2 linked regions of the Macaca fascicularis genome follow. The protein of the gene in region 1 interacts with the protein of each later gene in a pairwise test. Links are inferred from orthologs where the notes say so. Each region holds a gene or a part of one and is shown in the gene's direction. Other genes may lie near its edges. The genes, in order: TROAP and DYRK1B.

Region 1 (14,659 bases):
CGCCCGCCACCACGCCCGGCTAGTCTTTTTTTGTATTTTTAGTAGAGACGGGGTTTCACCATGTTAGCCAGGATAGTCTCGATCTCCTGACCTCGTGATCCACCCGCCTCGGCCTCCCAAAGTGCTGGGATTACAGGCTTGAGCCACCGCGCCCGGCCGCAAATATTTTCTTAGTGGGGGAATATAATTGATTTTCTATCCAATGAACTCTTTTCTTATTTTTCTATTGATTCTTCTAGGTTTTCTACTGAGATAATTATGTCCTCTGTAAACAAAACGGTTTTACATATTCCCTTTCAATCTTTATACCTTGTTAGATTTTTTGTTTTTCTTGTTTTGTTTGATTTTTTTTTTTTAATGGTGTTTTGCTCTTATTGCCCAGGCTGGAGTGCAATGATGTGATTTCCTCCACCTTCTGGGTTCAAGTGATTCTCCTGCCTTAGCCTCCCAAGTAGCTGGAATTAAAAGCATGCACCATTATGCCCGGCTACTTTTGTATTTTTAGTAGAGATGGGGTTTCACTATGTTAGTCAGGCTGATCTCTAACTCCTGACCTCAGGTGATCCACCCACTTCAGCCTCCCAAAGTGCTGGGACTATAGGCGTGAGCCACTGTGCCCAACCCTGATTCTGTTGATTTCTTTTTCTTACACCATCATAGAAAATTTCCAATATTAACAGCAACAGTGCTGGAACAACCTTGACTTGTGGGAAACCATCTGAAGCTTCTCCAAAGAGTAACTTTTTTCCCTGTTTTTGTGAAACCATTTTAAACTTACAGAACATTTGCAAGGATACACATAACATTTTTTCTCAACCATTTGAGAGCAAATTGATAATATATTGCCTCAAATATTTCAGTATGCTTTAATTTAATTTAATTAATTAATTAATTTATTTATTGAGAGGGAGTCTCTCTCTGTCACCCGGGCTGGAGTGCAGTGGTGTGATTTTGGCTCACCCCAAACTCTGCCTTCTGGATTCAAGTGATTCTCCTGCCTCAGTCTCTCGAGTAGCTGAGATTGCAGGCTCCCGCCACCATGCCTGGCTAATTTTTGTATTTTTAGTAGAGACAGGAGTTTCACCATGTTGGCCAGGCTGATCTCGAACTCCTGACCTCAGGTGATCCACCTGCCTCAGTCTCCCAAAGTGTTGGGATTACAGGCATGAGCCACTGTGCCCAGCCCAACCTTGATACATTCTGACCACCTAACCCTCAGGCCCTGTGATGGTTAATTTAAGGCATCGACTTGACTGGATTGAGAGATGCCTAGATGGCTGGTGAAGCATTGTTTGTGCGTGTATCTGTAAGGGTGTTGCAGGGGAGATTGGCTGTGAGTCCTTGGACTGAGAGAGGAAGACCTGCCTTCAGTGTGGGTGGGTATCATCTAACCGCTTGGGGTGGATTTGAACAAACAGGAAGAAGTGGGGGAATTATCAAACTCTCCCTTCCAGAGCAATCTGTTTTTTCTCCTCCTGCTCTTGTACAACAGACTACAGGTTCTTCAGCTTTTGGACTTTGGGACTTGCACCAGTGGCCTCTCAGGGGTCTTCAGGCCTTTGGCCTCCAACTAGGGGGTTGTACTGTTGGCTTCCCTGGCTCCGAAGCTTCTGGAGTTGGACTGAGCCATGCTACCAGCTTCTCTGGTTCCCCAGCTTGCAAAGAGCCTATCATGGGATTTTGCCTCTGTGATCATGTGGCTAATTCCCTAATAAATCCCCTCTCATATATCCAGTTGGTTATGTCTCTCTGAAGAACCTTAATACAAAAATTAGCCCGGCATGGTGGCGTGTGCCTGTAATCCCAGCTTCCTGGGAGGCTGAGGCAGGAGAATCACTTGAACCCGGGAGGTGGAGGTTTCAGTGAGCTGACGTCGGGCCACTGTATGGGCGACAGAGCAAGACTCCATCTCAAAAAGTAACAATAATAAATAAAATAAAATAAAATAAAATAATTTTTTAAAAAGTGAATGTGGGATTAATATTCATAATATAGTGTAATCTTATGAAGGAACAAAAGTAAAGACAGGAATCCAAAATAAAAATAGCACAAAGGATATGAATAGGCATTTCAGAGAGGAGGAAGTTTTGTTGGCTAATAAGAATATGAAATAGCCAGGTGCAATGACTCACGCCTGTAATCCCAGCACTTTGGGAGGCCAAGGTGGGTGGATTACCTGAGGTCAGGAGTTGGAAACCAGCCTGGCCAAAATGGCGAAACCTTGTCTCTATGAAAAATACAAAAATTAGCTGGGGATGGTGGCACATGCCTGTAATCCCAGCTACTAGTGGGGCTGAGGCAGGAGGATCACTTGAACTTAGGAGGCTGAGGTTGCAGTGAGCCAAGATCATTTCACTGCACCCCAGCCTTGGCAACACAGTGAGACTCCATCTCAAGAAAAAAAAAAAAAAAAAAAAGAATATGAAGTAACACTCAAACTCACTAGTAATCAGAGAAATGTAATTTTAAATAACTAAGAGTACACTTAATATACACATTAGAATTGCAAATATTAGAGAGTTGTATAATATTAAGTGTTGGGAAGGGTCTGAGGTAATAAAAACTGACAGTAATAATGTTGATACTGTAAACATCTACAGACCTGGGTTTTCTTGTTTTGTTTTGTTTTTCAGGTTTTTTTAAAGAATGTCTCACCATGTTATCAAGGCTGGCTTCAAACTCCTGGGCTCAGGCAATCCTCCTACCTCAGCCTTCTGAGAAGCTGGGACTACAAGTGCATGCCATGCCCGGTTTATAGCTACAGATTTTCTGAAAAATAATCTGATGCTACTTAGTAAAATTGAGCATGCACATACCTTACCACAGAAATTCCACTCCGAGGAATATGTTCCAGAGAAATTCTTGAACTGGCTCACAGGGGACTATGTAAGAGATAACTGTCTGGCATTGTGTATAGAAGTCGGGAATGGGTAAGTAAAGTATAATGGATGCCTACCATGGAATCCTATGTAGCAGTTATAAGCAATGAATTAGATTATATGTAGTGATAAGGATGAAAACAGAGTTAATCAAAAAAAAGTAAAAGCAGGCTGGCATGGTGACTCACATCTGTAATCCCAGGACTATGGGAAGGTGAGGCAGGCGGATGGCTTGAGCCCAGGAGTTTGAGACCAGCCTGGGCAACATAGTAAGACTCCATCTCTATACAAAAAAGAAAAAAGTGTACATTAAAAAAAAATTTTTTTTTTTTGAGACAAAGTCTCACTCACTCTCTCCCCCAGCCTAGAGTGCAGTGGCATGATCTCCGCCCATTGCAACCTCCCCCTTCTGGGTTCAAGTGATTCTCGTGCCTCAGCCTCCCGAGTAGCTGGGATTACAGGCATGCACCACCACACCCAGCTAATTTTTGTATTTTTAGTAGAGATGGGGTTTTGCCAAGTTGGCCAGGCTGGTCTCAGATTCCTGACCTGAAGTGATCCGCCTGCCTTCGTGTCCCGAAGTGCTGGGATTGCAGGTGTAAGCCACCAAGGCTGACCTTAAAATTTTTTTTAAAGAGGAAGTTCAAACATTATTTCTTCTTGGAGGTCTTTCCTGTTGATGCATTCAATCATATATTCATCTGTCTATTGACTCATTCAACAAGGATTGAGCACTTTTACGAAGGATAATGCAAGGTACTAAAGATATGATGGTAAGCCAAAAATAGAGGGTTACCTTCATCATCTCCTTGGAGGTCTATTGGGGGAAACTGAGTTTAGTAAACATATTATGTTCACATTGATAAATATATAATTACCAACTAATATACATGCTCTGAGGAAACAAACATTAGTTTTTGAGAGCACATAGCCAAGAGGTCTTTACTAGATTGGGGTGGGTGGTAGGTAAAGGGGTTCAAGGAAGGCCTGAGGAAATAACAATGGAAATCAATTTGGAGGCATAAATAGGCAAAGTGGAAGTGAAAAGGACATTCCAGAAACAGGGACCATATAGAGCAATCAGGACAAACTTGAGGAATTGAAAGAAGCCATGAAGTTGGAGGTATTAATAGAAGGGGAAGAGTGGTGGAAGATGGAAGGTTTCAGTGGGGAGAGGTCAAGGGATAGTGGTAGCCTGACTGGATGTGCATTTTGGAAAGATTACTCTAGCTGCTATATGGAGAATGGAAGAGTGTGAAAAGAAAGAGAGACTAAGGGATGGGAGACCAACTAAGAGACTCTTGCAATTGCCTAGGTGAAACTGAGGTGGATTAGGGTGGTGCTAACAAAGAACAAGAAAGTAGATGGGCCGGTGGCTCACTTTGGGAGGCCAAGGCAAGTGGATCACTTGCGGTCAGGAGTTCGAGACCATCCTGACCAACATTTGTGAAACCCTGTCCCAACTAAAATACAAAAATTAGCTGGGCATGGTGGCTGGCGCCTGTAATCCCAGCTGCTCAGGAGACTGAGGCAGGAGAATTGCTTGAACCTGGGAGGTGGAGGCTGCAGTGAGCCAAGATCAGGCCACTGCACTCCAGCCTGGGTGACAGAGCAAGACTCCATCTCAAGAGAAAGAAGAAGGGAAGGGAAGGGAAGGGAAGGGGAGGGGAGGGGAGGGGAGGGGAGGAGGGGAGGGAAAGAGAGAGAGAGAGAAAGAAAGAAAGAGAGAAAGAGAGTGAGAGAGAGGAAGAGAAAGAGAGAGAAAAAAGTGAAAGAAAAAGAAAGAGAAAGAAAGAGTGAGAGGAAGAGAAAGAGAGAAAAAAGTGAAAGAGAAAAAGAAAGGAAAGAAAGAAAGAAAGAAAGAAAGAAAGAAAGAAAGAAAGAAAGAAAAGAAAGAAAATTTTTCTTTTTTGAGACAGAGTCTCACTGTCACCCAGGCTGGAGAATGCAGTGGTACAATCTCTGCTCACTGCAGCCTCTGCCTCCTGGGTTCAAGCGATTCTCCTGCCTCAACCTCTTGAGTAGCTGGGATTACAGGCACCAGCCACCATGCCTAGCTAATTTTTGTATTTTTAGTAGAGACAGGGTTTCACAGTGTTGGTTAGGATGGTCTCAGATTCTTGAACTCAGGTGATCCGCCCACCTTGGCCTCCCAAAGTGCTGGATTATAGGCATAAACCCAGCCGAAAGTAGATGAATTTTTTTTGTTGTTTGTTTGGTTTTTTTGAGATGGAGTTTCTCTCTTGTTGCCCAGGTTGGAGTGCAGTGGTGCGATCTCAGCTCACCTCAACCTCCGCCTCCCAGGTTCAAGTGATTCTCCTGCCTCAGCCTCCTGAGTAGCTGGGATTACAGGCATGCGCCACCAAGCCCGGCTAATTTTTGTGTTGTCAATAGAGAAGGATTTCTCCATGTTGGTCAGCCTGGTCTTGAACTCCCGACCTCAGGTGATCCACCTGCCTTGGCCTCCCAAAGTGCTGGGATTACAGGCATGAGCCACTGTGCCCAGCCTGAAAGTAGAGGAATTTTAAAGATACATACAATTAGTAAAGATACCTTACATATCTTTAATTTTTTTTTTTTTTTTTTTTTTTTTTTTTTTACAGAAACAGGATCTTGCTACATTGTCTAGGCTGGTCTGGAATTCCAGGCCTCAAGAGATCTGCCTGGGCCATCCAAAGTGCTGGGAAGGACACCTGCAGCCCCAGGCTAGACAATGTAGCCAGATCCTGTCTCTACAAAAAAACAAATATTAGCTGGTGGGGGGCACCTGTAGTCCCAGGTGAGAGGCTGAGGTGGGAGGATCCTTGAACTCAGGAGGTCCAGGCTGCAGTGAGCTGATATCGCACCACTGCACTCCAGCCTGGGCGACAGAGTGAGACCCTGTCTCAAAAATGCATAAATAGTAAAATTAGTGAGAGTGAATGAGAGACGGGATATGTAAAGGGAGTGGGAGGACTTAAGGAGTAACTCCTCGTTTCTGACTTGTGTAAGAATAACTTCTGTGATTGGTGGGGAAAATTCACCAGAGTTCTGTCAACTTGAAAGTGGTGTTCATTTCCTGTCCCCCATTAGGGGTTACCCCGTCCATCTTAAGCAGGATATTCTAGGATCTCTCAGTCTCACAGCTCTGCCCACCAATAACCAGCAGGTGAGCCCCCTCTCCCCAGACCTCTAGATCTGCAAAAGGCTACCTGGAGGCAAGGAAAGCCCAGCTGTGAGTAGTCATTCAATTCTGGTGCTGTGGTAACTGAGTTCAAAAACAATGAGTCTTGTTACCTATCGTGAAATGAAAGACACCTCACCAGACACCTCACTGGGTTGTGAGGCTCCAAGGAGCACACATATTGTTAGGCTCAGTTCGATTCCCTTCAGCCCTCTGCCTGTTTGAAGGCAGTTCCTTATCTTGGAGACAACGTGCAGATGTTCTCTCTCTCTTTCCCTCTTTATTTATTTATGTATTTATCCTTAAGACAGGGTCTCTCTCTGTTGCCCAGGCTGGAGTGCAGTGGCGTGACCACAACTCAAACAGCCTCAACCTCCTGGGCTCAAAACGATCCTCCTGCCTCAGCCTCCAGAGCAGCTGGGACTACAAGCGCGCACCACTGCACAGGAATTATTATTATTATTTTATTATTTTGTAGATAGGGGTGGGAGTGGTCTCGCTATGTTGCTCAGGCTGGTCTCAAACTCATAGCTCAAAAGATCTTCCCGCCTCGGCGTCCCAAAGTGCCGGGATTACAGGCGCCTGCCACCGCGCCCGGACGCAGATATTTTCTATGGGTATCTGGAATGGCGTCCCCAAAGCTTGGCGCAGGGCTGTGGTCAAGCCGGGTGGGGGGCACAGGCCAGCCTTCAACACCGTTGGCACCAATCAGAACAAGCAACCGTCCTCTCAGGGCCGCGACGGCCCCTTTCTGCCAATGGCCAGCCCCTCGCCGGTCCCGAGACCTCGCGAGAGCTCCCATGGCTACGCCTTCCCCGGCCTCGGAACGGCCTCGGAACTGCCCCATCCTTCCTCTTTCCCCGCCTTCCAGCGGCGCTCCACTCTCGGATTGGCTGATTGAGCCGAGTCAGTTTTTTTTTTTTTTTTTTTTTTTTTCCTGGCCAGAAAGCGGTTCGACAATTGGTCCTTCTTTTGGCCCCTCCTGCGAAGCCCGCGGATTGGACTGCTGAGTCTGGCTACACAGGCCTCCGCGGGAGCGCGGCCGGGCCAATCAGGAGCTTGGCGTATTTTACAAACTGAGGAAGTAGCTCCAGCCGTATCCGAGAGAGTCAGGCGAAAAGCGGAGGAAGCTGGGTCGGCCCTGAGGGGCTCTCGGTAAGGTGAGGCACGGGGGTCTTGGAGGGAACGAGGGCTGCTGGGCTCATAGGGACGAGGGCAGTTCGAGGTCCGAGGGCGAAAGAGTAGTTTCGGGGTGTCTGGAGGTAGCACCCATAAGAGCGGTCTTGCAGGCGCCGGGGGCTTGTGGGCGCGTGGATTAGGGCAGAGGTATCAGGGATGGCAGGACAGGTGCCCCGAGAACTGGTTGATCTTTGATCTCCGATTCTACCTGCCTTCTTCCCCGTCTCAACTGTAGCCATCATGACCACCCGGCAAGCCACGAGGGATCCCCTCCTTCGGGGTGTATCTCCTACCCCTAGCAAGATTCCGGTACGCTCTCAGAAACGCACGCCTTTCCCCACTGTTACATCGTGCGCCCTGGACCAGGAGAACCAAGATCCAAGGGTAAGAGCGGCCTAATGGGGGAAGACAGTAGTCACACCAGTAATGCACCCCAACACTAAACCTCACCTTTTTGTCCCCCCTCCCTCCCCTAGAGATGGTTGCAGAAACCACCGCTCAATATTCAACGCCCCCTCGTTGATTCAGCAGGCCCTAGGCCCAAAGCCAAGCACCAGGCAGAGACATCACAAAGATTGGTGGGGATCCCTCAGCCTCGGAACCCCTTGGAGGAGCTCAGGCCTAGCCCTAGGGGTCAAAATGTGGGGCCTGGGCCCCCTGCCCAGACAGGTACCTGTTGGAGCCCTGGTAACACGGCCTCCATGGCCGAGTAGGGAACTAGGAAGGGTAAAAGTGGGGTTTTGGGGTTTTGCACTCACTCCTGCTGTCTCCTGCTTACTGTGATAGTCCTGGTTCCACCTCCTGGAAAGCTCTTTGCTCTTAGAAGATCTCCCTTTCCTCCAGCAAAATGTCATCTCACCAGGCGCCATGGGTTGTACCAGTAATCACAGCTACTCAGGAGGCTAAAGCGGGAGGATCACTGGAGGCCAGGAGTTGGAGACTAGCCTGGATGACAGAGGGAGATCCTATCTCTTTAAAAAAAAAAAAAATAAATAAATAATAAATGTCACTTCTTCTGAAGCCTTTTCCAGTTCCCCATGTCACTTGTTCTCCTAATACTTTGCAGTACTTCTTTTATAACATGTATATACCTTGGCTTGAGTCTGTTACCTGTCTATAGTTTGATGATAGCTTCTTGAGGATAGGGGCTTTGTCTTATTCTTATGGGACCCCAATGCTTAGAATAGTGTCTTATGTAACATTCTATGAACATTTGGTGGGCAGGTGTGGTGGCTCACGCCTGTAATTCCAACACTTTGAGAGGCTGAGGCGGGAGGGTCACTTGAGCTCAGGAGTTTGAGACCAGCCTGGACAACATGGTGAGACCCCATTTCTTTTTAGTTTTTCTTTTTTTTTTTCTTTTCTTTTTTTTTTTTTTTTTTTTTTGGAGATAGAGTCTTACTGTATCCCTCAGGTTGGACGACAGTGGCATGATCTCAACTCACTGCAATATCCACCTCCGAGGTTCAAGCAATTATCATGACTCAGCCTCCCCCAAGTACCTGGGATTACGGACACCTGCCACCACACCTGGCTAATTTTTGTTTGCTTTATTTATTTATTTATTTATTTATATGAGACGGAGTCTCGCTCTGTCACCAGGCTGGAGTGCAGTGGCATGATCTTGGCTCACTGCAGCCTCCACCTCCCAGGTTCAAATGATTCTCCAGCCTTAGCCTCCTGAGTAGCTGGGACTACAGGTGTGTGCCACCATGCCCAGCTAATTTTTTTTTTTTTTTTTTAAGTAGAGATGGGGTTTCACTATGTTGACCAGGCTGGTCTCAAACTCCTGACCTCAGGTGATCTGCCCGTCTCAGCCTCCCAAAGTGCTGGGATTACAGGAGTGAGCTACCATGCCCAGCCAATTTTTGTATTTTTTTAGTAGAGACAGGGTTTTGCCATGTTGGCCAGGTTGGTCTCAAACTCCTGACCACAAGTGATCCACCTGCCTCAGCCTCCCAAAGTGCTGGGATTACAGGTGTGAGCCACCACGCCCAGCCATCTATTGCTTAAAAAAAAAAAAAAAAAAAGCCAAATTCAATTGAATGAGTCTCTTTTGCTCACCTTGTATCTCAAAGTGACTATGCTAGGGTCCCTATCCCCCTCAGCTTTCCCCCTTCCTGTTCCTTCTTACCTTTCCTTCTCTTTCCTTGCAGAGGCTCCAGGGACCATAGAGTTTGTGGCTGACCCTGCAGCCCTGGCCACCATCCTGTCAGGTGAGGGTGTGAAGAGCTGTCACCTGGGGCGCCAGCCTAGTCTTGCTAAGAGAGTACTGGTTCGAGGAAGTCAGGGAGGCACCACCCAGAGGGGCCAGGTAATGAAACAGGATGTGAGGAGACCAGGCTGGGGGCGCTGAGGTGGGCATCCTGAGCTGTGCTGACAGCCTCTGTTGGTGTCCCAGGGTGTTCGGGCCTCTGCATATTTGGCCCCCAGAACTCCCACTCACCGACTGGACCCTGCCAGGGCTTCCTGCTTCTCAAGGCTGGAGGGACCAGGACCTCGAGGCCAGACTTTGTGCCCCCAGAGGCTACAGGCTCTGGTGAGTGCCCTTGAGAGGCCTGATACTTGGTGCTTCTGGGAGCTCCTTCCAGGGACAAAGCTGGCCTTTGGGAGAGGAAGTACCTCATGATGAGGCAAGGGATCCTATTGGGGGAGATGGGGTTGGTGGTGAGGCCTGAGGGTTTAGGGTCCACCTCTGATTCCGTTTTCATCTCTTGCTCCTGTGGATCAGATTTCACCTTCAGGACCTTCCTTTCACCCTTCCACTCGCCCCAGTTTCCAGGAGCTAAGAAGGGAGACAGCTGGCAGCAGCCGGTGAGAAAGGAGAGGGTGTGGGAGAAGGTCATCTGGAAAAGAATGAACCAGTGTCTGATACAGGAGTCCCCCAGAGTTGGGGCCTTCCAGTAGCTTTAGGACTCCCCACCAACTCTGAAGGGGAAGCAAGAAACCTGTGATTACCCAGGATGAGCCCTTGGGATAGGGTTCAGGCCTTCACAGGCAGGCCTCAGTGTGACATCAGTTTCTTCAAGTCATGGGGGGACAGGGAGGACAGAAATGTGCTATCTCTTTTGTTTAGTGGCTACAGTATAGACTGTGGCAATAAATGGGATTTGGGTTTATATCCTAACTCTTACCACTTACTAGTTGTGCAAGCTTGCCTTCACCTCTCTGAGCTTTGGTTTCTTTGTCAAGTGAGAATAACATTTGTATCATCATTAGAAATTGTCATGAGAATGAAATGAGATGATGTTTGTAAAGCACTTAGCACATGTCCAGCTCATACTTGGTACTCAGTGACTGCTGGCTACTGTCCTTATTGTCATCAGGACTTCAGTGAGCCAGGCCTCAGGATTGCTCCTGGAGACCCCAGTCCAGCCTGGTGAGTGTGTCTGGCTGTGGGGAGAGCACAGGGGCAGTTGGGCTGCCTGAAGCAGGGAACAAGATCAGATAAAACTCAGCAGGCTGGGAGGGAGCATGAGAAAGTGGGAGGCTGGGAGGCTAGGTCAGAAGGAGAAGAAGAAGAGACTTTCTAGATAGGCCAGAGGTTGGCACAGTTGCACTTGTGTCAAAGGAGATGGTCTTCATTTCGGCCCTCTCTCTGCCACTTCCTGCAAGATTTATCTTCCACTCACTGTTTATCCCCAGCCCCTAAGTGCCATCACCACATACCCAGCCTACTCAGACGTTCAGATTAGTAAGTGTTTACTGAGATAGTGTTGGGTGTTGAGGGGCTGCTGGATGGGTTCCTGTCCCTAATAGTGCAATGGGGGCTATTAAACTAATATACCCTCTTCAGAAGTTGTAGAACCCTGTGCCAAACTTTGGTGGGTGTTCTAGAGTCTACAACAAATGTCCCGTTTCTTCCTAGCTTTCTCTCTCCCTAAAGGAGAACATGAGGTTGTCACTCGCTCAGATGAAGGAAGTGTGGCCTCTCTTGGTCTGGCCCAGCGAGTACCATTAAGAGAAAACCGAGAAATGACACATACCAGGGTGAGATGCAACTCTCCTGGGATGGTGGGTGGGAGGTGCAGGAGATGCTTGGGAGAATTTCGCAGCAGCAGCCAACACTGAGAATTGTAGGTAGAGCCAGGCAGTCTTGGGCCTCAGGATGTTATTGGGTAGGTTTACCCCAGATGCACCCAGTCCCTCTCCAATGTGAAACTGACCTCTCTTTATCAAATGTCTAGGGCCTGGGGTGAGAGATCATATTTGTATCACCATCAGATCAGTGCTAAGGGTGAGACAGATCTGCCACTTGTCAGCCAAAAGGATTCATCCCTTCGCTTCACAAATATTTACTGAGTAGCACCAGCCTGCTGAGTGCCAGGCCGTGTTCTAGGCTCTGGACATACAGCAATAAACAAGTTCATATTCTAGAAGGGGGAGATAAGAAATAAACACATATATAAAATAGTGTCTCAGATGACTGTAAGTTCTCTATAAAAAAATAATAAAAATAATAGGGCACTAAAGGGGAATTGGGAGCAGGGGAGTTGGTGTTGCAATTTAAAATAGATTGGTCAGGGAACTCTTATTGAGAAGATGATGTTTAAGTGAAGACCAGGGGTTGGAGGAGGAGTGAGATATGTTGATATCTGGGGGAAGGAATGTTCCAGGCCAAGAGAACTGAAGAGGCAAAGGCCCTGGGGAGGGAATGTGCCTGGCATATTTGAGGATCCGCAAAAAGGAGAGGCCAGTGAGATTGAAGCAGAGTAAGGAGAGCGGTAGGAGATATGGTTTTAGTGATAACACAATCAGATTGGGTAAGGAATTGTACACCAGTGTAAGTTCTTGGCTTTTCTTGGAAGTAGTGGGAAGCCATGGGGAGAAGGGTTGATCAAGAAAGTGACATGATTTGACTTAGGTCTTTTTTTTTTTTTTTTGAGACGGAGTTTCACTCTTGTTGCCCAGGCTGGAGTGCAGTGGCATGATCGCCACTCATCACAACCACCGCTTCCCAGGTTCAAGTGATTCTCCTGCCTCAGCCTTCTGAGTAGCTGGGATTACAGGCATGCACCACCACGCCTGACTAATTTTGTAGTTTTAGTAGAGACAGGGTTTCTCCATGTTGGTCAGGCTGGTCTCGAACTCCCGACTTCAGATGCTCTGTTCTCCTTGGCCTCCCAAAGTGCTGGGATTACAGGCCTGAGCCACCATGCCTGGCTTGACTTAGGTCTTAAAAGAATCACGCTGGCTGCTGTAGTGAGAACAAGATATAGGAAGACAGAGGGGGCAGGGATCACTCTTCCACCTTTTTCTTCTTCACAGGACAGCCGTGACTCCCACCTGATGCCCTCCCCTGCCCCTGTGGCCCAGCCCTTGCCTGGCCATGTGGTGCCATGTCCATCACCCTTTGGACGGGCTCAGCGTGTACCCTCCCCAGGCCCTCCAACTGTGGTTTGTGTCAACAGCTGGGGGCTGGGCAGGGGCAGAACAGTCTGGCCAGAGATCCTTGCTAGGTCTGCTAAGCCACCCACATCTCTCCCCAGACCTCATATTCAGTGTTGCGGCGTCTCACCATTCAACCTAAAACCCGATTCACGCCCATGCCATCAACCCCCAGAGTTCAGCAGGTAAGAGAGGGCATGGGGAGGTGGCTGGCAGAAGCCACAGCTAGGGGAGAAAGGAGATGGATGGGTACAGGAGAGAGAAGACAGAAGCAAGGGGAGGTTGAGTGCCACCTGTGGGTGTCAGGCCTTGCTGACATCTCACTTCTGTGCCAGGCCCGGTGGCTGAGTGGTGTTTCCCCTCAGTCCTGCTCTGAAGATCCTGCCCTGCCCTGGGTAAGTATCAGAAGGCTCCCCCTACTGAGATTCCTTGCCCTGTGCTGCCAGCCTGAAGGCCCAGGAGTTTGAGACACATGTGCTTTCTGGGCCAGGCATGATGGCTCACACCTGTAATCCCAGCACTTTGGGAGGCTGAGGTGGGAGGATTGCTTGAGCCCAGATCTTTGAGACCAGCCTGGGCAACATAGTGAGACCCTGTCTCTACTAAAAATTTAAAAAATTAGAAAATGCTCTCTGGAAAAGCTGCCTAACTCTCCCTGCTTCTCTGCTGCCACTCCTAATGTACATCTAGGGCCTCTCAGTCAGCGGCTTTAATCTATTCCTCATGAGGGTGGGACTCAGGCTGGTCTTTCTCCTGCCCCATCCTGGCTTTCTTGTGTGCCTTGTTCCTTGGTGACAGGAGCAGGTTGCCGTCCGGTTGTTTGACCAGGAGAGTTGTATAAGGTCACTGGAGGGGTCTGGGAAACCACCTGTGGCCACTCCTTCTGAACCCCACTCTAACAGAACCCCCAACCTCCAGGAGGTGAAGATTCAAGTGAGTCTGTGTGGGCAACAGCTTTGATGTCTATTGAACAGTGACTGGGGCTGAGGAAGAAGGAAAAGAGATGGGGGGTCAGGAATAGGACAGTGTAAGTAGACTACTGAATGCACATCTTGATGTCACACTGGGGTGCTCTCTCCCACCACAGCGCATCGGTATCCTGCAGCAGCTGTTGAGACAGGAGATAGAGGGGCTGGTAGGGGGCCAGTGTGCCCCCCTTAACGGAGGCTCTTCTCTGGATATGGTTGAACTTCAGCCCCTGCTGACTGAGATTTCTAGAAATCTGAATGCCACAGAGCATAACTCTGGGACTTCCCACCTTCCTGGATTGTTAAAATGCTCAGGGCTGCCAAAGCCCTGCCTTCCAGAGGAGTGCGGGGAACCACAGCCCTGCCCTCCAGCGGAGCCTGGGCCACCAGAGGCCGTCTGTAGGAGTGAGCCTGAGACACCAGAGCCCTCCCCCCAGGAACAGCTTGAGGTACCAGAGCCCTGCCCTCCAGCAGAACCCAGGTCCCCAGAATCCTGCTGTAGGAGTGAGCCTGAGATACCGGAGCCCTCCCGCCAGGAACAGCTTGAGGTACCAGAGCCCTGCCCTCCAGCAGAACCCAGGTCCCCAGAGTCCTGCTGTAGGAGTGAGCCTGAGATACCAGAGCCCTCTCAGCAGGAACAGCTTGAGGTACCAGAGCCCTGCCCTCCAGCAGAACCCAGTCCCCTTCAGCCCAGCACCCAGGGGCAGTCTGGACCCCCAGAGCCCTACCCTAGGGTAGAGCTGGGGGCATCAGAGCCCTGCACCCTGGAACATAGAAGTCCAGAGTCCAGCCTACCACCCTGCTGCAGTCAGTGGGCTCCAGCAACCACCAGCCTGATCTTCTCTTCCCAACACCCGCTTTGTGCCAGCCCCCCTATCTGCTCACTCCAGTCTCTGAGAACCCCGGCAGGCCAGGCAGGTAAGGAGTTGGCTGGGAAGGAGTGTGAACACAAGAGGTCCTCAACTCACTGTGAGCTGCACCCCTGCCCTGCCCCACCCCTGCTCCAGGCAATCCCATGCTTCCACACCTTCCACCCTGGCCCAGCCTGGCTCTCCCTCAGGAAGAGGGGAGGGGCTGCACTT
Region 2 (14,650 bases), on another chromosome or scaffold:
GCTCGAGACCAGCCTGACCAATATGGTAAAACCCTGTCTCTACTAAAAATAACACAAATTAGCTGGGTGTGGTGGCATGTGCCTGTAGTCCCAGCTACTCGGGAGGCTGAGACAGGAGAATTGCTTGAACCTGGGAGGTGGACGTTGCACTAAGCTGAGATTGCACCACTGCACTCCAGCCTGAGCGACAGCGAGACTCCATCTCAAAAACAAAACAAAACAAACAAACAAGAAAACAAACCCTCAGGCTTTAATCAGGCAAGTTACCTAATCCATCCAAGCCTCAGTTTACCTCTCTGGAACATAGACTTGTGAAGATTAAATGAGTTAATTTCTGAAAGGTGCTCACAGCAGTGATTGGCCCATGGTTACATCATCTGTGTGCCTTGGCTTCCTGGCTTTAAGCCTCTGTTGGGAGCCTGGGCTCTCAGGCAGATGGGATTGGGTACTTTTGCTACTTGCTGAATAACCCTTGACCTGTGACTTTATGTCTGGACCTCAGTGTATTCATGTATAAAATGGGCATGATAACAATAGTCATTATATGGTAGGGTTTTGATTTGGGGGTTGGAAGAGATGCTGTGTAGAGTGTATGGGCCTAAAGTAGGCACTCCATGCCTGAGAACTAGCATCATTGTTGATTCCTTTTTAATTTATTTTAGGATGGTCTAGTCTATGCAGTCGAGTTCTCCCACCGCTCTGGCCGTGACCTCATTAACTTGGCCAAGAAGAGGACCAACATCATTCCTGTGATCGAGGATGCTCGGCACCCACACAAATACCGCATGCTCATCGGTGAGGGGTCTGGGGGTGGCCCCGGTGGGCTAGGACAGGCCACTGCAGGCTTCCTGGAAGAAGCCAGTGGACCCCTGATTTAGATGGAGTTGGAGTGGATGAGCAGACCTCTTGAGTCTGCAGGAATAGAAAGGGGTAAGGGGAGCTAGGTGAAGCTGTAGAGGTGGCAGCTTGACTTCAGAATCTTGGAAGCCACCCTTGGGAGGGCCAAGCTCCTCTCCTTCAGTCTCCTCCCCATCTCCTAGGTCTCCTGTACTTCCTGCCTCCTGTATTTATTACACTGCCCCTGCATTAAAAACCTCCTTTTGGGGGTCCTTATCATTGGCTGGTGAGAGCATAGCCCAGAAAACAAACTGAGCTATGGCTTGACCTAGAGGGGTCCATTGTGACTATTAATGACTTTGTTTAAAAAAACATTCAAAGGTATAATATAAAAGTTGAAAAGCCTTATAAACCACCCCCAGAGGTAACTGATGAGAACAATTTGATGTCTGCTTTTCCCAGGTTTTAAGTAATCAGTTTTCATTATACCACCTTTTCATTTTTGAAAAGTCACACTGCCTTAAATACATTATTTTTCATTCTGCTCATTTTTCTTTCTGTGTTTTTTTCCCCCGTGCACTCATACTATCCCCTTTGTTCTGCGACTTGTTTTCATTTCACGGTCCTGCAGACACTCTTGCCTATAAGTGCTCACTCACTCTTACTTGTCTTTTTGATGACGTGTCTGTCTCCCCACCAGACCCGGGAGCGTCTCGAGGGCAGGGTCCGGGTCTGACTCGTCTCTATGTCCCCCACGCCCGGCCCAGGGCTGGCCACAGAGTAGGTGGCAACCATGGTTTCCAAGAAGAGTGGATGAATGATGTGACTGTGGGTTTTGGACTCATCTTGGGATACTGGAGGGAGGGGGACCAGTGGAGGTGGGGAGTGAAACTGGAGGCAGGGAGAATCTCCCAGGAACCTGCTGGTGATGGGCATAGGCCCCTGGGAGGGTCTGGGATGATCCCTGTGACTCCAACTTGTAACTGCTGCCCCTTTCTCCTTAGCAATGGTGGATGTGATCTTTGCTGATGTGGCCCAGCCAGACCAGACCCGGATTGTGGCCCTGAATGCCCACACCTTCCTGCGTAATGGAGGACACTTTGTGATTTCCATTAAGGTGCGGGGTTTGGAGGAGTCTAAGATGGGGTGGCAGTGTTCTAGGGAGGTATCTTCTCTATCTGTATCTGTCAAATAGCCACCCAAAAGAGAGGGACCAAGTCTGCAAAACTATAGCTTTGGATCTAAAGAGGCAAGAGAGTGCAGTGGTCAAGTGCAAAATTGAGTCTGACCATCTCATTCCAGCCTGCCGTGTAAACTAAGCAAGTTACTTAACCTATATGCCTCAGTTTCCTCACTTGTAAAATAGAAATATTAGTCTAATCTTTTTCAGGGTGGATGACAGGATCAAATTAGTCAATATATATGAAGTGTTTAGAAAAGATCCTGGCCTAGGATACTAGATAAAAGCTAGGTGCATCTTTCACAACGTTTTATTTAGAAATAATGGAGAACTCCCCCATGCACCCTTCACAGGGTTCACCATTTGTTAGCCTTTTACTACATTTGTTTTATTATTCTCAACTGCATTATTACTATTATTAAAGAAGAGGAAGTAGAAATAAACCAAACAATTCCTGGGTATAAAACTTAAGCACTGGCTTTTAGATAAATAGGCTTCCTGCTTCAAATCCAAAGCAAACTAAAAACTTTTTTTTTTTTTTTTTTTTAATTTGAGACACAGTCTCGCTCTCTCACAAGGCTGGCGTGAAGTGGTGCAATCTCAGCTCACTGCAACCTCCGCCTCACAGGTTCAAGCAATTCTTATGCCTCAGCCTCCCAAGTAGCTGGGACTATAGATGTGTGCCACCACACCTGGCACTTTTATATTTTTAGTGGAGATGGGGTTTTGCCATGTTGCTCAGGCTGGTCTGGAGCTCCTGAGCTCAGGCAATCTCACTGCCTCAGCCTCCCAAAGTGCTAGGATTACAGGCATGAACCCAGCCAGAAACTTCTTTAATTAAGCCTTTTATCACATTTCCTAAACCCAAGTGTCTTAGCCCTTTTTATGCAGCTATCACAGAATGCTATAGACTGGGTAATTTATTTTTTTTATTTTTATTTTTTGAGATGGAGTCTCACTCTGTTGCCAGGTTGGAGTGCAGTGTTGTGATCTCAGCTCACTGCAACCTCCACTTCCCGGGTTCAAGGGATTCTCCTGCCTCAGCCTCCCGAGTAGCTGGGACTACAGGTGTGTGCCACCACAGCCGGCTAATTTTTGTATTTTTAGTGAAGACAGGGTTTCACCATGTTGGCCAGGATGGTCTCGATCTCCTATTTCGTGATTCACCCGCCTTGGCTTCCCAAAGTGCTGGGATTACAGGTGTGAGCCACAACGCCCAGCCTGAGACTGGGTAATTTATAATGAACAGAAATTTATTTGGCTACCAGTTCCGAAGGCTGGAAAGTCCAAGATTGGGGGCCTGAATCTGGCGAGGGCCAAATTGCTGTCATCCATTGGCAGAATGGTGAGAGCAAGATGGAAAGGGGGCATAATCATGCTTTTAATCAGGAACCCACTCTTGTGATAATAGCATTAGTCTATTCAGGAAGGCAGAGCCCTCATGACCTAAATCATCTCTCAAAGGCCCATCTCAATTCTGTTGCATTTAAGCGTTAAGGTTCCAACACATGAACTTTGGGGGACACGTTAGAACCACAGCACTGAGTTTTACTTGAATTAATAATGAAAACATCTGGTTTAAAGAGCACACAAGAGGAAAACAGCCCAAAGCCCTGTTGTGGACATCAGTCAGTCCTTTCTCCTCTTTAGGCCAACTGCATTGACTCCACAGCCTCAGCCGAGGCTGTGTTTGCCTCCGAAGTGAAAAAGATGCAGCAGGAGAATATGAAGCCGCAGGAGCAGTTGACCCTTGAGCCATATGAAAGAGACCATGCCGTGGTCGTGGGAGTGTACAGGTGAGCAGGGGCCCAGCAATACACCAAGACAGACATCTCTGTCCCTTGCACCCCAAGTGCCATGATCCTGGGGATCCTTCTTCATCACGTATCTTCCTCTCACAGGCCACCCCCCAAGGTGAAGAACTGAAGTTCAGCGCTGTCTGGATTGCTAGAGATGTGTGTTGATACTGTTGCACGTGTGTTTTTCTATTAAAAGACTCATCCGTCTCCCATGTCTGCTGCTCATTCCTCCCCTTGACCTGCTGACACAGGGCGCATGCACCCTTGGTTAACTTTGCGGGGTCGTGGGGTAAATTCTCACCCGGTCACAGAGCCCATGCTCCATTTGTAGCTGCCTCTCGCGCAGTCGCAGCCCGGATTTCAGTTCTTGGGTGTGATTGGTAGCTCACTGCGCATGCGTACAGGTAAGCGGCCGTCTCGCGCAGGCGGAGTGGCAGTCTGGGTCACGTGGGGGGAGCGGAGAGGGCGGGATGGGGGCGGAGTCCAGGGCGTGGGGGGGCCGGTTTGTTGTGGTCGCCATTTTGCTGGTTGCATTACTGGGTAATCGGGGCCCTGGCTTGCCGCGTCCGCCGGATACCCTCAGCCAGTGGGCAGGTCTGAGCTCGGGCTCCCCGAGCAGTTTGAGTCCCCTTGCCCGCTCCCTCAGGTAACGGCGCAGGGACGGTGGGGCGGTCGCAGGGAGGTGGGCAGGACGGGATCCGCCCTGCCCGCGTCGCCGCGAGACTTAGCGCGAGGCCAAGGGAGGAGAGGAGGGGGGTGGCGGGCAGGTGCGGGCCCTGCCTGGCTATTCATAGTTGAATTCCTGGAACCGGCCAAGCCCGAGGGAGCAGTTGCAGGAGGGAGGCTGGGAGGGGGTAGCCGGGCCCCACTCCCGCCCTTTGTTTGGGCTCGGCTCCGCGGGCCGCTTCTTCGTTGCCTAGCAACAGCTGCCCTAGGCTGTGATTGGCTGAGCTCTTGGCACCAGCGACCAATGGCACAGTTGTTGCCATGGCAGGTGCCGATTGCCAAGCTCAGTCGGGCCCCGCCTGCCGGTCTCGGCAGGCCCAGGAGGGCCTCCTGGGTGGGGGGCGGGACGCCGGGTCCCTAGGGGCTGGTGGCCACTCAGGGTGGGGCGTGTCGCCCCTCCCCCGTCCACCTGCTCTACTCTTCCCCCTCGTGCCCCGGGCTGACCCTTGTCCCCTCCTCTCCCCGCCCCTGGTGGCAGCGGCGGCTGCTGTTGTCACCCACCGGGCCGCCCGTCCCGCTTGCCCTCCCTGCCGCGGGGCCGGCCGGGCCAGGGACAGGCGGTCGCCTTTTCAGCGCTGCCACCGCCGCCATGCTGGCCGCTCGACCACCCGCCTGGGGGCCCCACCGCGCCCCAGCCCCCCGTGGGCCCCGCGCCAGCCCTGACCCGGGTAGGGGGTGGGGGCTGGGAGAGATGGTCCTGGTGTGGGAGGGCCCCGGAAAAGAGGTTGTTTTGGGGGGAAGCTCCAAGGGTGGAGGAGTCGTGGAGTGGCGAGGCATGGAATAGGAGAAAAGGATTTGACATGGGGGAGAAAATGGCCCATTGGGGAGATTTTTGCTGTGGCTGACAACTCTGGGAGGAGAGAACCCTATGTGATACTTGGGCATTTGGCTTTGAGGCCCTGTAGGAGTGGACTCAGTTGTGGAATGACCCTGGTATAAAGAGGGGTGCCTGGAGAAAGGTGTCTGGTAGGAATATTAGGCAGTGTGTGTGTGTGTATGTAGGGGGGCAAGGAAGCAGTGTAGGGGAGAAAAGATCACTCTAAACTGTGGGAAGAGACACCTCCCATCAGGAGGAGTGGGCCTTGATTGGGATGGGGTCTTGGAGTAATGTGGGGAAGAGCCCTGTTGTGGCAGGGGGAATTGGGATATAGTACAGGGAGACTGCCTGGAAGGCTGGTTCCTAATATGGAGGACCTGATATAGGGAAGCGGTCTTGGCATGATATGGAGAGGGTCCCCTAGGAAAGTTGTGCCCTGGTAGATGAGAATGCCGTAGAGATAGGACTCTGTTCTGTAGAGGTTCTCAGATAACTTTGGTGTGGTTGGGAGGTCCCTAAGGACGCTGATGTGGTTTTAGGGCTGCAGAGGATTCTGCTGTGGTTTGGGAGGGGAACACTCATGTGGTTTGGAAATCCTAGAGTTCTCTGGGCTGAGGGAATCTACTGAGAAGGGTAGATCTTGAAGTAGTGGCCCTTGCTGTACTACGGGCTGAGATCCTAATGTTCAGGGAAGACTTTAGAAGGGTGGGATCTTGTGTTAGGGGCCCTGGGGAGGGCCATGAGTAGTAATGAGAAAAGAATGAAGCTTACTCCTCTGCATACTGTCTGTGGTTTCTATCTTTTTTCTTTCCCTCCTCCGAATTATTGGTGTCTTCCTGTCCTCCTTTCCCTGTGATGGCTCATATCAACCCCTGCCTGGCCCCCAATCATTGTCTTTTATGCGTTCTCTTTGTGCTGCCTTAATCATTTACTTGGTCATTATTTGTCAAGGGACTGCTGTGCCACCCCCCACCTGGCTGCCACTTCTCTGCCCCTTTTCTTCATTGCTACCTGTTGCTCCGTTGTGCCCTTTTCCTCTTCTCTCTGTTCCCTGCCTTTCTCATGCCCACCTCTTCCGCGCCTGGCACTATTCACATATCCCTTGTTCCATGTTGTTTTCCTACCGCCTGTCTGCTCTCAGGTGTCAGCGGCGGTGGCAGCCGAGGTGCAGGATGCAAGAAGGCGCCCCCCGGCCGGGCTCCCGCTCCAGGCCTCGCTCCCCTGCGGCCCTCTGAGCCCACCATGGCCGTCCCACCGGGCCATGGTCCCTTCTCTGGCTTCCCAGGGCCCCAGGAGCACACGCAGGTACGCGTTCAGCTGGCTCCTCACCTGCCTGGTGGTAGGGGGAGGCTGGGGATAGAAGGGTCTCCAGACCAAAATGTAGTGTGGTTGCCCAAGACAGTCTCCTGGGCACATAATGGGTCCCATGGGATTGGAAAATAACAGAGGAGTTTTCAGGCAGAGTCAGGGTTTGGAGAGGTTGGGTTCAAATGCTTACCCAGTGATTAAATTACTTAGATTCTCCATACTCGAGTTTTCTATTCTGTGAAATGGGGCCAATAATGATACCTGCCTCACACGGTTGTTGTGAGGATTAAATGAGTTAATGGTATGCATGTAGAATGCTTAGAATGGTGCCTGGCGCATAGTAAATACCCAATAAATGCTCACTAAGAAAAGTTCAGAGTGAAAGATCTGGAGGGGGTGAATGGGGAGGGGGGTTGAGTCTAAACGGTCTTGAGTCCAAGAGGCATGGGTGGTGCAGGGCAAAGCTCTCCAAGGCTGGAGGCAGTGAAGGCAGTGACATGCAGAGCTTGAAGCAGGATGGAGTGGGAGGTCCAGGGGCCAGATCAGATCCAAGAGTCTTGGAGTGAAAGAACTATGCAAAGAGTTGGTGGGGGTATGGGTTGGGGCCCAAGGGATGAGGGTAAATTGAGATAGAGGAACTTCAGAGGATACCCAGAATGGCTGGCTTCACAGTGAAGAATGGGGAGGAACAGAGCCCAGATTTTCCATATAATCTCTCCCACTGAGGTTCAGAAAGGAGTAAAGGTGAGGGGTGAAAGGTCAGGGTTCACTCATTCACATCACAGGTCTGAAAGAGTATCCATTGTGTGCCAGGCCCTGCTTTAGGCACTGGAGGTACAGTAAGAACAAGAGAAAGTCTCAGCCCTGGGGGAGTTTCTTTCCTAAATGGGTGGAACAAATACAGACAGCAACCAAATACATGATGCGCGAGCAGCCCTTATAGTTCTTCCTCTTGAGGTTGGAGGTAAAGGCCCGCCCTCAGTGCCCACCCCTCACCCTGCCCTGCAGGTATTGCCTGATGTGCGGCTACTGCCTCGGAGGCTGCCCCTGGCCTTCCGAGATGCAACCTCAGCCCCGCTGCGTAAGCTCTCTGTGGACCTCATCAAGACCTACAAGCACATCAATGAGGTGGGCAGGGGCTGGGGGATCCTGGGCTGGGTGCCGAGGGTCTTGGCTGCTGGCATGAGTCACTCACCAGTCCCCATCTCCTGCCTGGCTGGCTGGGCAGGTATACTATGCGAAGAAGAAGCGGCGGGCCCAGCAGGTGCCACCCCAGGATTCGAGCACCAAGAAGGAGAAGAAGGTCCTGAACCATGGTTATGATGACGACAACCATGACTACATCGTGCGCAGTGGCGAGCGCTGGCTGGAGCGCTATGAGATTGACTCGCTCATTGGCAAAGGCTCCTTTGGCCAGGTGTGGGACACCCCCCTCTCCCACCCTGATCCAAGGCCCCACTAACATTGACCACATACCCAGTGGTTCAGTGGCTTCAAATCCCATGCTGGGCCACTCACCCTAGCCCACTTAGTTTCCCTGTGCCTCAGTTGCCTTTTCTGTAAAACAGTTTAAATAACAAGACTCAACATAAGGTGGTATGTTATTTCACGTCCAGCGTTTCCACCAGTGCCTGACTAATGGTGTGCACTCAACTGCGAAGTATGCATAATGTTCTCGGTGGGCCTCCTTGCCTGGAGGGAGGAGAATGGTGCCTGGCTCTGCCCTGCCCCCACCCCTTTCTTCTTGACATGCCCTGCCCCAACAGGTGGTGAAAGCCTATGACCATCAGACCCAGGAGCTTGTGGCCATCAAGATCATCAAGAACAAAAAGGCCTTCCTGAACCAGGCCCAGATTGAGCTGCGGCTGCTGGAGCTGATGAACCAGCATGACACCGAGATGAAGTACTACATAGGTGAGGCCCGGGACTGGCAGGGCTGTGGGCACCTGGGATAGCGGGAGCTGGAGCCAGTAGGGATGGGTCACACCCCTGCCCCACCCTCAGGAGGAGGCTGACATCTTCAGAGCAGGGTTTGATCTGTGCTTCACTGACATCAGTGATTCTCCTGCTGCTTTTATGGTTTTTGTCCTATTTACTTGGTAGTGGTCAGAGGTTACTGAGTGCTCACCAACGGCCAGGCTGTCTTGGAAGCACTTTATGTAAGTTAACTCACCACAGCCCATAAGGGGATTATTACCAACATCTTGAAGAAACGAAACCCGGGCTTCCATCCTAGTTTCTTCTTCAATAAAACAAACAAAAACAAAAAAAATGGGCTGGGTGCGTGGCTCACGCCTGTAATCCCAGCACTTTGGGAGGCCGAGGTGGGTGGATCATGAGGTCAAGAGTTGGAGACTATCCTGGCCAACATGGTGAAACCCTGTCTCTACTAAAAATATGAAAAAATTAGCTTGATGTGGTGGCACGCGCCTGTAGTCCCAGCTACTCGGGAGGCTGAGGCAGGAGAATCGCTTGAACCTTAGAGGTGGAGGTTGCAATGAGCCAAGACCATGCCATTGCACTCCAGCCTGGTGACAGAGCGAGACTCTATCTTAAAAAACAAACAAACAAAAAACCAAACAATAATAACAACAAAAACGAAGAAAGGAAAAAAGAAACCCAGGGATTCAAGTGCTGTCACTTGCATGAGGGGGCAGTTTGTACTAATTGAGCTATAATTTGATGAGGCCGTGGACTCCAGAGGTGTTACTCTTAACATCTGTGCCAGTCTTTCTTCTCCCTTAAACTGATTCCTCTTAATGGACATAAACATCACAACATAATCATAAACAGCAAGTGGATTTTAAAATGGTTTCGTTTGAAAGGAAAATGTACATCCTTAAAGTAGATGGAAAACTAGTGTCCTTTGCCACAAAAATGAATACAAGGGAGATGAAAGCAGTGTTACGAAATTAAAGGAGGAAGTGTAGAATGTGTTAGAGCTAGTAGTAACTAATGAAACTTTCTCGTTTGTTTAATTGGAGGGTTTGACAGAGACTTGGAAAGAGCGTTAACTTCCTGTGTGAACCTAGTTGTTTGTTAGATAAAAAGATCTTGACTAGCAGATGGTACCCGTGGGCACAGCACATGTGGCTAGTGATCAAAGAGTGTTGTATGACCCCAGGCCACCACCTGCCCTCTCTGAGCCATTTTTTCTCTGGCCCATTTTCTCCCCTCCCTCGCAGTGCACCTGAAGCGGCACTTCATGTTCCGGAACCACCTGTGCCTGGTGTTCGAGCTGCTGTCCTACAACCTGTACGACCTCCTGCGCAACACCCACTTCCGCGGCGTCTCGCTGAACCTGACCCGGAAGCTGGCGCAGCAGCTCTGCACGGCACTGCTCTTTCTGGCCACGCCTGAGCTCAGCATCATTCACTGCGACCTCAAGCCCGAAAACATCTTGCTCTGCAACCCCAAGCGCAGCGCCATCAAGATCGTGGACTTCGGCAGTTCCTGCCAGCTTGGCCAGAGGGTACGGGGCAGCCCGGTCCTGGGAGCAGGGCTAGTGGTTTGGGTGAGGCAGGGCCAACAGGAGGCTTAGGGGCGGGGCTTGGCTGGGATGGGATTATTAGGAACTGCTGGAAGTGAAGGATAGTGCTTGGGGTGGGGGTGTGGATGTACTGCCCACTAGGATGGGGAGGGTGAAGCCTGAGGGGGCAGGGCTCGTTTTGAAGCTGCCAGATGTGAACAGGGTAAAGTTGGGTTGGGTTTGAGCCCTGGGTGCTGCTTTACTAAGTTTTTGTGTTTTGTGTTCTTAAAGCCGGGGAGGGAGGTGGAAGGCTTCAACTTTGCAACTCTGTGTGAGGTGCCACTAAAAATGACAATAGTATAGGGCTGGTGGAATGTCAGCCTCTGCCTGGTGACCCAGAAAGGCCCAGGATCGGGGTTGGGGGTGGAGATCAGGGTCTCTTTAGGCCAGCAGGCTCCCCAGATTGATAAACAAGATGGCACCAGTGGCTCCCAGAAAACTGGTGCTGATAATGGCAGGATTTGGAGCCTCAGTCCCCATTTTGTCAGCAAGAGGCTTGTCCTTAGTTGGGTCCTCTTAGCTTTGGGGGTGTCAGTGGGACCAGTAGAGGAGGCTGGGACCCTTGACGATGACCCTTTTCCCAGATCTACCAGTATATCCAGAGCCGCTTCTACCGCTCGCCTGAGGTGCTCCTGGGCACACCCTACGACCTGGCCATTGACATGTGGTCCCTGGGCTGCATCCTTGTGGAGATGCACACCGGAGAGCCCCTCTTCAGTGGCTCCAATGAGGTGTGCCCCCAGGAAGGGGTGTGCTGGAGGTGGAGGGGGTGGAGCCTGGCTGGCCTGATGACCCTGACTCCCGCCTGCTCACAGGTGGACCAGATGAACCGCATTGTGGAGGTGCTGGGCATCCCGCCGGCTGCCATGCTGGACCAGGCGCCCAAGGCTCGCAAGTACTTTGAACGGCTGCCTGGGGGTGGCTGGACCCTACGAAGGACAAAAGAACTCAGGAAGGTGCGGCCCCTGCCCCACGCCACTCCTCCCACCCCGTGGCCCCTCACTCACACTTGGGGCTCTCTCCCCCTGCTCCCTCTCCCTTGTGTCTTTCCCTTCCTTCCTGTCCCCCTTGTCTGTCTTTTCCTTCCTTCCCTGCCCACCCCATCTCCCATCTCTCCTTCCCACCCCACAACTCTTCTTAGCTTTTCTTTCCACTTTCTCTCCTGTGCCTCTGTTTCCCCATGTGTGTCTCCCTGCCCCTCCTGCCCACTGACGGCCACTCTCTTGCCCCCCCTCCCACCCCCTCCCTGCCAGGATTACCAGGGCCCCGGGACACGGCGGCTGCAGGAGGTGCTGGGCGTGCAGACGGGCGGGCCCGGGGGCCGGCGGGCGGGGGAGCCGGGCCACAGCCCCGCCGACTACCTCCGCTTCCAGGACCTGGTGCTGCGCATGCTGGAGTATGAGCCCGCCGCCCGCATCAGCCCCCTGGGGGCTCTGCAGCACGGCTTCTTCCGCCGCACGGCCGACGAGGCCACCAACACGGGCCCGGCAGGCAGCAGTGCCTCCACCTCGCCCGCGCCTCTCGACACCTGCCCCTCTTCCAGCACCGCCAGCTCCATCTCCAGTTCTGGTGGGTGCCCACGTGCCCAAATGGGGTACAACAGGGGTGGGGGCTGCTCAGGTTTGGCTTGTCCTAGGGGACCTTGTTACTGGGTCTTCACACAAGAGCTCTGAAACTGTTTGATCCTGAACTCTAAGATGATGTGTGGGATGGGAGAGCTCCAGCTGGCCCTGACACAATCTCTGAAATTGGACTTGGGCTCAGATCCCTGAAACTGGTTCTGACTCTAAAACCCAAAACTGAATTCCAATCTAAAATCTCAAAATTGGGCCTGGTTCTTCAGATGGGCTCTGATCTTGAAGCCTGAACCTGAGCCTGGGCCATGAACTTCACTCAGCCATCCCAAAACCCACTTGCCACCTTCTCTCACCTTATGCCCCTTCACCTCTCCTCCCTGGCACTTCCAGGAGGCTCCAGTGGCTCCTCCAGTGACAACCGGACCTATCGCTACAGCAACCGATATTGTGGGGGCCCTGGGCCCCCTATCACAGACTGTGAGATGAACAGCCCCCAGGTAATGAAGCTTTGGGGGCTTTGGAGGTGGGTGGTGGTGCCTGGGGCTTAAGGACTGGGGTCTCCATCATCCATTGCTCCTTTGCTTTTTTAGGTCCCACCCTCCCAGCCACTGCGGCCCTGGGCAGGGGGTGATGTGCCCCACAAGACACATCAAGCCCCGGCCTCTGCCTCATCACTGCCTGGGACCGGGGCCCAGTTACCCCCCCAGCCCCGATACCTTGGTCGTCCCCCATCACCAACCTCACCACCGCCTCCGGAGCTGATGGATGTGAGCCTGGTGGGCGGGCCTGCTGACTGCTCCCCACCTCACCCAGCGCCTGCCCCCCAGCACCCGGCTGCCTCAGCCCTCCGGACTCGGATGACGGGAGGTCGTCCACCCCTCCCGCCTCCTGATGACCCTGCCACTCTGGGGCCTCACCTGGGCCTCCGTGGTGTACCCCAGAGCACGGCAGCCAGCTCATGACCCTGCCCCCTCCCTGGGGCCCCTCCTGAAGCCATACCCCCCCCATCTGGGGGCCCTGGGCTCCCATCCTCATCTCTCTCCTTGACTGGAATTGCTGCTACCCAGCTGGGGTGGGTGAGGCCTGCACTGATTGGGGCCTGGGGCAGGGGGGTCAAGGAGAGGGGTTTGGCCGCTCCCTCCCCACTAAAGACTGGACCCTTGGGCCCCTCTCCCCCTTTTTTTCTATTTATTGTACCAAAGACAGTGGTGGTCCGGTGGAGGGAAGACCCCCCTCACCCCAGGACCCTAGGAGGGGGTGGGGGCAGGTAGGGGGAGATGGCCTTGCTCCTCCTCGCTGTACCCCCAGTAAAGAGCTTTCTCACATGCCTGCCTGAGCGTTTGCAGGGCTTCGGCTCCCCTCACCTGACCCTCAGAGGCGTGGTGGGGAAGGGGGTTTGCGGAGGGGGTGCTGGAGGAGCTCTGTGGTGTGGAGACGTCTCTTGTGGGGAAGCTGTGGCTCTTGTTGCAGGCATGGGGCTGCAGGTCTGGGGCACCAGCATTCTAGAGAGATCGTGGATGGGATCCTGATCGTGGATGGGATCCTGGCCTACATTTGCCTTTTCTTGGGTAAACAGACTGAAAGGGTAAAGGCTCAGCTCTGGCCTGTCTCTGGGAAACAGGTGCCCTAATAAGCCGGGGCGTCCGCAGAGCCAGCACAGGAGTGGCTCCTCAGGCCAAGCAGGCGTCCAGTAGCCGCTGAGTGCACTTAGCAGGCTTTGTTGGCGCCAACTGGGGAATAGGCAGACAATAGGTACAGACTCTGCCCCCACATGTGTACTATCCAACCCTTTGGAATCATCGCGAAACAAAGTGTTGAGATTCTAAGGAAAAAAGATTTTCCCGGGGTTCCAGGTAAGTGGTCCTGTTTCCATGGTAATTTGGAAATGTACGTCTCCCAACCGGCCAATCAAGAACTGCCCAGTTCAAAGGGTACCGTCTCCCACCACTGGGGCGCGGCGCTTTCTGGGAAATGGAGTTCTACTTAGTCGCTTTCTGCGGTGTCGGGGAACTACAGCAACCAGAGTTCTTTTCGCTCAGGCTTGGGGGCGGGTTTTCAGGCAGCCAATGAGCAGTCTGAGGTATCCGGGTCCTGGATGTTCGTGGTGGTTAGGAGGTGGAGAGAAGACCGTGATTGGGTGGCTTTGGCGCAGGTGTTGAGGTCTTCGAGGTGTGCGGAAGGTGGGCGCGGCGCCGTGCCGGGAGAGCGTGCCGGTTGTCGCTCACAGTTCCGGAGTGGGCGGTAGACGCCGAGGCCTGAAGGGGCCCCAGCACGGGGACATTACTGGCTGCTGTGCCGGGCCCGGCTTGCGGGAAGCCCCGCTCAGCGGGAGAGACAGGCAAGGACCCCGTCGTGGACCTATGTATGTTCACTAATGGAGGCGGCGTGGAACGCGGTGGGAACCCGAGGAGGCCCTGGTAGGAAGATCATCCCGGAAGACTAGGAGCTGTCTGAGCTGAGACCTGAAGACGGAAGGATGTTTTGGGGGGTCGGGGGCGGTGTGGTGGAATGGCTTGAGCAAAGACAGAAACAGCTTGATGTGTGAACATGGACTGCAGGTGATCTGATGTTGGTGATCATACTGAAAGTTCTCTATGAATGAGATGTGGAAGATTTTCTTGACCATTTAGGGAACTTGGATTTTGTCCTGAGGGCAATGAAGAGCCATGGGAGGATTTTTAGTGGGGAAGGGGTACGGCCCAGTTTGCTGTGACATGAGAATAGATTAGCAGGAAAGTGACTGGGATCGGGCAACCCAGGGTGGCAGATGTGATAGATTTCTAGGCAAGAGATGTTGGGAATGGATCAGGGCACGGGTCACTGTTGGGAGGGCAAGAGGGGATGGGAGAGACGTCCAGAAGGTTGACAGGCTGTGTG

The links.
Region 2: the proteins of TROAP (region 1) and DYRK1B interact in binary tests that used the Homo sapiens proteins (3 or more experiments, as listed by UniProt). The link is inferred for Macaca fascicularis from reciprocal best matches to the Homo sapiens genes TROAP and DYRK1B.

Annotation. Positions count from the first base shown.
Region 1 is NC_088385.1:56,138,204-56,152,862, forward strand, and holds the start of TROAP (tastin), read left to right. Parts: upstream 1-7,120; 5' UTR 7,121-7,197; exon of another isoform or gene 7,198-7,202; intron 7,203-7,456; 5' UTR 7,457-7,461; coding exon 7,462-7,605; intron 7,606-7,697; coding exon 7,698-7,890; intron 7,891-8,007; coding exon of another isoform or gene 8,008-8,127; exon of another isoform or gene 8,128-8,241; intron 8,242-9,377; coding exon 9,378-9,535; intron 9,536-9,622; coding exon 9,623-9,760; intron 9,761-9,952; coding exon 9,953-10,035; intron 10,036-10,547; coding exon 10,548-10,600; intron 10,601-11,089; coding exon 11,090-11,211; intron 11,212-12,489; coding exon 12,490-12,618; intron 12,619-12,710; coding exon 12,711-12,794; intron 12,795-12,944; coding exon 12,945-13,004; intron 13,005-13,407; coding exon 13,408-13,542; intron 13,543-13,696; coding exon 13,697-14,495; intron 14,496-14,659. UniProt on the Homo sapiens protein: Could be involved with bystin and trophinin in a cell adhesion molecule complex that mediates an initial attachment of the blastocyst to uterine epithelial cells at the time of the embryo implantation.
Region 2 is NC_088393.1:46,946,619-46,961,268, reverse strand, and holds DYRK1B (dual specificity tyrosine-phosphorylation-regulated kinase 1B), read left to right. Parts: upstream 1-5,062; 5' UTR 5,063-5,131; coding exon 5,132-5,210; exon of another isoform or gene 5,211-5,508; intron 5,509-6,500; coding exon 6,501-6,664; intron 6,665-7,675; coding exon 7,676-7,795; intron 7,796-7,895; coding exon 7,896-8,084; intron 8,085-8,433; coding exon 8,434-8,581; intron 8,582-9,852; coding exon 9,853-10,139; intron 10,140-10,780; coding exon 10,781-10,927; intron 10,928-11,011; coding exon 11,012-11,152; intron 11,153-11,449; coding exon 11,450-11,765; intron 11,766-12,163; coding exon 12,164-12,270; intron 12,271-12,363; coding exon 12,364-12,735; 3' UTR 12,736-13,098; downstream 13,099-14,650. Other genes in the region: FBL (rRNA 2'-O-methyltransferase fibrillarin), read left to right, coding at 663-795, 1,842-1,954, 3,668-3,813, 3,919-3,943.